2 linked regions of the Sus scrofa genome follow. The protein of the gene in region 2 purifies or fractionates together with the protein of the main gene of each other region. This does not show direct contact. Links are inferred from orthologs where the notes say so. Each region holds a gene or a part of one and is shown on either strand. Other genes may lie near its edges. The genes, in order: GNA13 and ARHGEF1.

Region 1 (4,433 bases), on a different chromosome or scaffold from region 2:
CATTACGTTGCACACACTTTTGGAAAAAGAAAAAAAAATATGTTAACTACTTAACTGATAGGCTTCCCTCTTCCTGTTTTCGTAGAATTCAGATTAGCATCTGGAGTCCATATAGAAAGGGTGCTTGGAGGCCGGTGCTAGACCCCTGCCCTGGTTCATCCTTTCATGGGTGGAGAACAGAGCCTCCCAAACACTAGCTGAGGCCACAGAGAGATCTTGCAACCAGGAGAGACGTTTACCCTATATTTTACCTGAAGGCACCACCTAGTGATTCTGGCCCTAACAATCCTTAGATATTAAGAGTTGAACCTACACTACTTTGTATATTGTAGCTTGTCCACCCTGTGGGCTTGGCCAGGACAAGAGGAGATAATCCCACTACAGGCACTGTTTACTGCAGCCAGTTTACTGAGTCATGAGGCTCCTCGGACATTAACCCAACCCAGACAGTGAACTGATTAGCACTGATTTTTAAAATTTAAACCTGTTCCTGAGCCTCTTGGGAGTGCTGACCTCTTTCTTCAGTTTCTGACGCATAGACGTTTCTGAGCCACAGAAGTTCTCATCAAGGAACATTAGGGTTGTACTGCCATAAACGGAGACCACCCCAAAAGCCTTTTTGCACTTAAAACTAGAATACCAAGAATGAAGAAGTTGGCTTTTGGGGGCCAACCCAGCTGTCACTGGTCGCTTGTCTCCTGGCAGCCCTTCAGGTGTCCTGGCCTGAATCTGCTATTAGGATAGGAAAAAAGTCCCTTGGCTGGTCATATCCTCTGTAATCTGGCAGGAAACCTAAAATTTGCCGGCTCTTCTCCTCGGTCTGTTTGCTTATCTGCTTCCTTGTTAGGGAAGAGTCTGCATCACAGTGTCCGGTTAAGGGGGATTTTCACCATGACCTCACCCTACTGCAGCTACATCTTGATTTCAGCAGCTTGGGTTGGAATCCGCATCAATGAGACATCAACAACCCCTCCTCGCCCATCTCAGATTAACATCAACACGAAGTCTTTCTCCTCCAAGAGATGATCTTTGTAGGGCTCAGAGAATACCGAAGAGAGCTGCGGGCCGGTGTTGGGGAGGATGTGAAGATGTTTGGTTAACGTTTTGAGTTTGTGAGAGCAGGATGTCAAGGAAGATACTCTAGGAAAACGCACCAAAAACTTGCCCAACTCGCGCTCGCTCTTTGAATAACATTCAAGCCAATGGCCTCGAAACTAGGAGAGCGAACGATGACAGCCGGCGACCCGCACGTAACCGCGGCGGGAGCGGTTGGGGAACCCAAAGTGCTGCATCTGAGTTCTTCTCTCCGGGCCCCAGCCTCCAGGGCTCCCGGAAGCAGCCCTTGGGCGCGTAAGTGGGTGCAGCTAATTAAAGGGAAACAGAAAGGCTGGCTCTGCAAGGCGCCCAGCCCGAGATCACATGAACACAAGGCCCCACCCCTTCAACCCCTCCCCGCGCGCGCCTGACGGCGGCCGCGAATTCACAGTAGAACGTGATTCTCCGGCCCAGCGCACGGGTCGGAGGAGCCGCCGCGGCGTGCGCGCGCGCCCCCGGAGGCAGCGGGCACGCGCACGTCCCCCGGGCCACCGCCCCTCCCAGGCCCGCCCTCCTTCCCTCCCTCCCTCCCTCCCCGGCTCGCCTGGCCCGCCCTGCGAGTCAGTTCGCTGGTTCCCTCCCTCCCCCGGCGCGCTCGGGTCGCCACTGCGCTCCCCGCCCTCGAGCCGCGGTGCCGGAGCCGCCCGCCGCCCGAGGAGGAGGTGGAGGGAGCCGGAGGGGCCCGCCGAGGCGGCGGCGGCGGCGGCGGCGGCAAGATGGCGGACTTCCTGCCGTCGCGGTCCGTGCTGTCCGTGTGCTTCCCCGGCTGCGTGCTGACGAGCGGCGAGGCCGAGCAGCAGCGCAAGTCCAAAGAGATCGACAAATGCCTGTCGCGGGAGAAGACCTACGTGAAGCGGCTCGTGAAGATCCTGCTGCTGGGTGCGGGCGAGAGCGGCAAGTCCACCTTCCTGAAGCAGATGCGGATCATCCACGGACAGGACTTCGACCAGCGCGCGCGCGAGGAGTTCCGTCCCACCATCTACAGCAACGTGATCAAAGGTGCCGGGCCGGGGTCGGAGCCGGGGGGCCGGGGGCCGGGGGCGGCCGCGGGCCGGCGCGGGACCGGGCACCGCCCTCGTTCGCTCAGTCCCCGGAGTAGAAACGGGCCCGGCGGGCGGGCGCGCGGGAAGGGGGCGCGCCCCGGGCACCGACCCTGCCTGCCCGGGGTGCCCTTGCCCCCAGCGGAGGGGATGCCTGGGGGTGCCCCTTTTCCCTCTTGCTGCGGGGCAGGGATCCCGGCTGGCCCCCCACCCCCCACTCCGTCGCTGGCCTCGCCCCCTGCGAGAAGGGAAGTGAAGGGAGCCGGGTGCCGGGAGTGCGGGGTGCCCCCTCCTGTCTTCCCTCCTCCGGACGAGGCAGCAGACCCGAGAGCCAGCCCCAGACCCTACACCCTGACCCCACGCCCCAGCGCTGCCTGCCCAGCCTCGCCTTCCCGGGTGGGTGGGTGCCCGAGTCACATGGGATCGGGGCTGCTCCCACTTCCCTGCTTCCTTGGCCCTTCCAGTGTTCTGGAACCATCGCAATGAGGAAACTTTTGCCCGAGACTCTGGTCAAGGGCGAACGGTGACTGCTCTTGGACCCTTTGGGGCAAGGATATGAAACTTGAGGGTGTCCTGTTTATTGTACTGGCGTCAGGAAAGAGTAGCCCCATTTAGTTAGTCTAAAAAAGTTCGCAGCGGTGGTTTTTCGCCCGGGTGTCACGGTGGGGCAGGATGTTTGCCTGTAATCACTATGCAACACGTTCCACTCTCCTTTTGCTTAGTAACTGGGGGCCGGAGGGAAGGGGTACCACCACTTGCTTCTACTACTTAAATTAAACTGTGTGTTGATAATAAAGAATCTTTGGCCTAGAAGTGATGCAGAGCCTGTACAAGTTGAGTCAGTGAATCAGTGTCGGCTCTGCTTCTGTTTGTCAGTATTTTTTAAGTTAGATTAAGCCTTGTTAATAAGTGAAAAACGCACAAGAACTTTATTTCTGGTCTTTCAAAGAGCTAAGAGAAGAGGGATTTTATTTTTGTCGTTTGAGTGTTAATTAGCACTTCATTTTCTTTGTATCATATTTTCTACTTTATAAAAGGCATTTGCCAAAGTTGCGGTACGGAGTCTGGTACTTCAGGTGTGTCAGGATTCTCTCTGTTGCATCTGGGTAGCAATTATCTAGGAGTTCGCTATAGATTTCAAGCTTTTCCAAGCAGCATTTTTTTGAGTGGGATTTTTTTGTTGTTCAGGAAGTGCTTAAGTTACTCTCTGGTGTCACTTTTTTTTCTCCCAGGATTGAGTAGAGGAAAACTGCTTGGGGGGGGGGGAAGGGGAAGCTTTGTGAAGCTAATAACGGGGGAGAGCACTGCGCCAGGAACTCATAGACCACAGCCAGCCCTAGTACCTCTGCAGTTAAGTTATTAAAAAAAACCGGTTGTATTTATCCCTTCTTAACGTTTAGTAGTGCAACATTAATTGAGGTGTCTTTCAAAGCCGAAGACTCTGCCTAACCAGGCTCTAATTGAAGGTACCTTTGTATACCGATGCCCAAACTTAAGGAGTTCTGTCAGTGAATAGTTAACATGTTAACTGATTATAAGCCAGCTAAATAAACATCTGGCCCTGTTTTGTTTTTCATGTTTTGGTTTTTTTGTTTGTTTGTTTTGTCATTTTAGGGCTGCACCCATGGCATATGGAAGTTCCCAGGCCAGGGGTCCAATCTGAGCTATAGCAGTTGGCCTCTGCCCCAGCCACAGCTACAGCTATGCCAGATCTGAGCCACATCTGCGACCTACACCACAGCTCACGGTAACACTGGATCCTTAACCCACTGAGCAGGGCCAGGGATCCAACCTGCGTCCTCATGGATACTAGTCGGGTTCGTTTCTGATGAGCCACGACAGGAACTGTACCTGGCCCTCTTTTAACACCTGGTTCTCAATGTGCTCTGACTTCTAAGTGTGACCTACTTTGAGCCTTGATTATGAGATGAAGTCACTAGCCATCTACTTTTTTGAGTTGGCATGATCAGAAAATTGACAGCCAAACAGTTTTTCAGTTATCCAAACAAGTGACCTAAGAGCCATGTGATTATTGAGAGGGACTAAAAGTAACAGCTTAATGATAGAAATAATGGGTTTGAATTAATCACCATGAGTTTGAAATCTCTGTTTTTATACTGTTTTTGCAATTGGTCTTCCTCCTTTTAGGGAAGTCTAACTAAGGCCATCGTGTGCCTCACACTGATTTAAAGCTTGGTATTGGGAGTTTTTGAGTTTTGAATGTTTCCTGGAAGACTCAGCGTTGGGCTCAGCCGGTGCTCGGGGACCAAATAGGCCACAGGGCGACATTGTTTGTTG
Region 2 (4,246 bases):
CAGGGGGATGTGGGCACTGTGGCCTGGGCAGGGGTGCAAATTGGACTTGGCGGCTCCACAGAGACTTGGTGCTCAGAGAGGACTAGGGGGAGGGACTGGCTGCTTAGAAGATGGGGCATCAGGATATTCCGCAAAGGTTAGGGAATTCTAGGTTGAAGGGGATGGATCTGCAAGCAAGTGACAAGGCCTGGTATCCTGTGGAGGGGGGTGCGGTATGCATGGGGCTGTTGGGGGGGTCCTAAAGCAAAGAAGGCACGTGTGAGGGGTTACATGGGTGCCTGGATTCTAGGCAGGGCTCAGAGTCTAGAAGATACTGAATGGGTGACTCTGGTCTCCAAGAACGTCTGGGAGCCTTAAACAACCTAAAATACAGAGTAGTCAAGGTGAGTCCTTGAAATGTATAAGGCCCCAGATTCTACTGACACATGGTAGGTCTACAAGGATCCTCAGATCACACAGGAGCTTGATTCCATAGGGGAAGTAGCCAGTTTATGGGACCTTTGGAGATTTAAAAGGGGACTAGAACCCTGTAGCGGAGTGTGGTGGTCCTGGAGATCCAGGATCCGGGCCCCGGATTCTAGCGGATGCAACTGATTTATGAAAACCCCACGTCTGTAAGGAGCCGGATCTCCATGGGGGGCTAGCAGGAACCTGGAGGGGTTGTAGGGGGGTCTCCACGAGCCCCAAATCATATGCAGGACGTGGCGCGTGTACACGGACCCCAAAACCTACAGGGGACGTGGCAATGTGCACCGTCAGGGATGCTGGGGCGGACGTGCAGAGTCAGGGGCTGATGCCCGCCGGGGGCCGCGTCCCTCACCTGCTCCGGGTCGGAGGAGAAGCACTGCAGCAGCCAGAACCGAAACCTCCGCGCGCCGGCTCCGGGTTCCCCCACCCCGGGCTCCGAGTCGCTCTAGCCGCCCCACAGGCCACCTTTGCTTCCGGCTCCACTCCTCCCGCCAGCCGCTCTAGCCCGATTCCTACCAGGTTCCTGCCCAGGAGACTCTACTCCTCCTTGCCGGCCGCTCTAGCTCTCCACTGAGCTACGCTGGCCAGATAGGGCCGCTCTGGCCCGTCTTGGAGGGCTGGCGTTTCCATATCTCGACTGCCCCCGTCACTCTCCTGGGCCCCACCCCCACCCCACCCCCCGCCCCCAGGCTAGAGGTAAGGATCCTTCCAGTGCCCGGATCGCGCTCCATCCGAGCTCTCTGAGTTGTCCTGGACCTTAGCCCCCGAACTGGAGTCCCCGCCCTATCTTGCCACCCTAACTTGGGATCCTTTGAATTCCCCACGCTCGTACATTAATTCTTCCCGCACTGCCCTCCACCCCTCCACCCTGCACACTTTCCGCCGGGGCTGCAAGGCGAAAATCCTGGGTTGGAGCATCTGACATGCAGTGGAACGCGGAAAAAGAAATTAACTCTCCCCAGGCCTCAGTCTTCCCATCTGTACAATGGGGAAAGATCTCCAGTTCTGTACCCTACAACCCATCTCCCAGGGTATAATTAAAGACCAGAAAAAGGTCTTTATACCCCCCCCCACAACAACAACCAAAAAACCGCTTTTAAACGCACTCTGCAACTTTCAGCTTCACAGTGGCCTATGGCTGTTATTGCCGTTTTTCTTTTTCGGTGGCTCTAAAGCATGCGGGTTTGGAGGACGGCGCTTAGCGGAAAGCACCTGCGAATTCGAATCCCAACTCCATTCGGTCTCACGATGTATGTGCCCTGGGATGAGTCGGTTTTACTTCCTAGGCCTCAGTTTCCCTACCCGTGCAATGGGAGTGGTCATCCGTCCTCCGCCGAACAGTTGGCGGTCCTTAACCCCAGAGTCTCAGCCCTCACCCCACCTACCCGGACTTGGCAAGTGTTAATTCTCCTCTCTTTGTCCCCTTTGACAGATGGGAAAACTGAGGCCTAGGGAGGGGCGGCTGCTGGCTTAGCGGGGCTGGGAGGAGGCCCTCCACTGCCGGCAGCGCCCAGCCCCCTCCCTCCACCTCCCCACTTCCCCTGGCAGCAGCGGGGAGGGCGGCCGGGCGGGGCCAGGGCCGGTGTACCTGGTGTCCGCGCGGGGAGGTGACCGGCGGGGCGCCCGAGGTCGGGCTCGGCGATCCCGGGCCCGGTGTCCCAGCTCCCGCTTCCTGGCTCTGGCGGGGCAGGAAGTTGGGGCGTTTTTCCGGAGGCCCCCGCCCCGCCGCCCCTCCCCGCTTCCTGCCTGCGCCCCGCGCCCGCCCGGCACCTCCGCTTCCTTCCCCTTCTGGCCGCCTGCCCCTCCCCTGCTTTCCCCAGATCGGCCCTGGACCTGCGGGCACCCGCCCCGCCCCGCCCCGACCCCGCCCGGCCTCTCCCGGCTTTGTCGGTCTATCTGTCCGCTGGGTGCGGGCTCCACGTTTCTCCCATCTGCGTCGACCATCAGTAACTGGCAGGGCCTGGGGGCCGTGCGCCCGCATAGCAGCCTCCCCTGCCTTCCGTCTTTGTGTGTCTCTCGGTCTTCCTCTCTTTTGTTCCTCTGTGTGTGTTTCTGTCCGTGTCCCTCTCTCTGTCTCCATCTCTCACTTTCTGCGTTGAGGTTTTTCCTTCCTGCTCCAAGGCCCCTGCTTCTCCCGGTTGTGTCTAGTCCCTTTCTCACTCGGAGCCTTCTCTCCCCATCTCCTGCATCACCATCAGTCATTTCCCCACCTGTTGCTTTCCTAGAGTCTCAGGGGTCAGCCTCTCCATGTCCATTTTTCTATGGACCCTACTTTTTCTGTCTCTTGCTGCTGTCTCTCTGCCAGAGTGTGGTCTCCTCAGTGTCTCTCAGTTCACTTGCTCTGTCTCTCCATCACTATCTTTCTGTCTCAGTTCCTCTCTCCCCTCTAGCTCAGAATCTGTATCTCTGTTCCTCTTGTGTCATCGCTTCTGGGTCTCCCCAGCACCCCCAATTTAGGGCCATAGACTTTCCGCATCCCACTTCTACAAGTTCACACCCAGAGAACAGGTGTGGCCATGATCAGAATTTGGTACCAATCTCACCATACAGTGCCCTGTGTCTTTGGGACTTAGCTCTGCCTAAATTAATGTGGTTACCTGGGTACTTCCTGTGTCCCCCTCTGCTCAGGCACATCACCTGGGATGGGCCCCTCCCCAAGACACTTCCTATTTCTTTCAGGGGGCAGCCAAGACTGGCTACCTGCTTGCAGGCATGGGGAGTGGGCAGGGGCTGCGGAAGGAGGGGGCTGGGGCCTTCCTTGGACTCCTGGGTCCCAGAGAAGGAGGAGGGCGTCCCCATGAGATCCTTGACTCCTGCCACTGTCTGCAGTTGGGAAGGATTTATTATCACTAAGTGGCCATGGCAGAGCAGGGATGGGGGAGGTGACACTAACGAGGCTGCTACAATCAGCTCCCCTAGAGGCAGAGATTAAGGGCTCATTACCCACTGGGGGCGAAGGGGTGGGGGTGGGAGCCTGGGCGAGGCAGCAGGAGGAGGATTGAGTGACGGAGGGGATGAGGACAGTCCAGAGGGAAGAATAGTGGACACTCCCAAGAGGGAAGTTGTCAGGACACACCCAGAAAAGACTGTGAAAAAAGAGCTGGTTCCAGGGAAGATGCGAGTGAGACGTGGGTTGGGTGCCCAGTTGGCAGGGCAGCCGGGCTGGGTCAGGCGGGGTCACGGCTTCTCTAGCTGGACGTCTCCGATGTGGAGGCTGCCCACGTCCTGGTAGGTGCCCTGGAGGCCCCGGGAGATATCCTCATACATGGAGCAGTCATCAAGGTTCAGGCCCTGGGGGAGAAATGCAGGGCGGGGCTCAGTGCCCTGATGTGCAGGTCCCTGCCCCCAGCCAGGCTCAGGGAGGAACCCCATGAAACCCCCCACCCCACAGACCTGCACCTGCCCTGCACCTGCCCCCACCTTCCACTCACCTCGTAAAGATTTTCATCATCATAATCATCCTGGACATCCGCCCCGAATTTCACATTCTGCCATCGTTTCTGTGGGGGGATTGGGAGCCTCCGTGAGTCGGGGAAGGGGAATGTTTTCAGACCCTCATGAGGGTGGGGAGGTGCTTTACCAGAGAGGGTCAGGGAGATGCCCAGGGCCACATATCCTATTGGTAGCAGGTCTCTCTAGGTTCAAGCCAGTGTCCTTTTGGCCCATGCTTCACGGATAACAGCGGCAGTGTTAGTAAATAGGTCTAGAGGCCCTGTGGCCTAAAGAGAGGCTGATGCAGGTCAGAGACTCCGGGAGGACGCCAGCCCCCATCACCCAG

What was found.
Region 1: the proteins of ARHGEF1 (region 2) and GNA13 purify together in Homo sapiens (affinity purification with western blotting; 5 studies listed by BioGRID and IntAct, with this or other methods). This does not show direct contact. The link is inferred for Sus scrofa from reciprocal best matches to the Homo sapiens genes ARHGEF1 and GNA13.

The regions. Positions count from the first base shown.
Region 1 is NC_010454.4:11,963,968-11,968,400, reverse strand, and holds the start of GNA13 (guanine nucleotide-binding protein subunit alpha-13), read left to right. Parts: upstream 1-1,487; 5' UTR 1,488-1,811; coding exon 1,812-2,094; intron 2,095-4,433. UniProt on the Homo sapiens protein: Guanine nucleotide-binding proteins (G proteins) are involved as modulators or transducers in various transmembrane signaling systems.
Region 2 is NC_010448.4:49,992,471-49,996,716, forward strand, and holds the start of ARHGEF1 (rho guanine nucleotide exchange factor 1), read right to left. Parts: upstream 2,965-4,246; 5' UTR 2,671-2,964; coding exon 2,057-2,670; intron 1,114-2,056; exon of another isoform or gene 821-1,113; intron 1-820. Other genes in the region: CD79A (B-cell antigen receptor complex-associated protein alpha chain precursor), read right to left, coding at 3,646-3,759, 3,900-3,968. UniProt on the Homo sapiens protein: Seems to play a role in the regulation of RhoA GTPase by guanine nucleotide-binding alpha-12 (GNA12) and alpha-13 (GNA13) subunits. Acts as a GTPase-activating protein (GAP) for GNA12 and GNA13, and as guanine nucleotide exchange factor (GEF) for RhoA GTPase.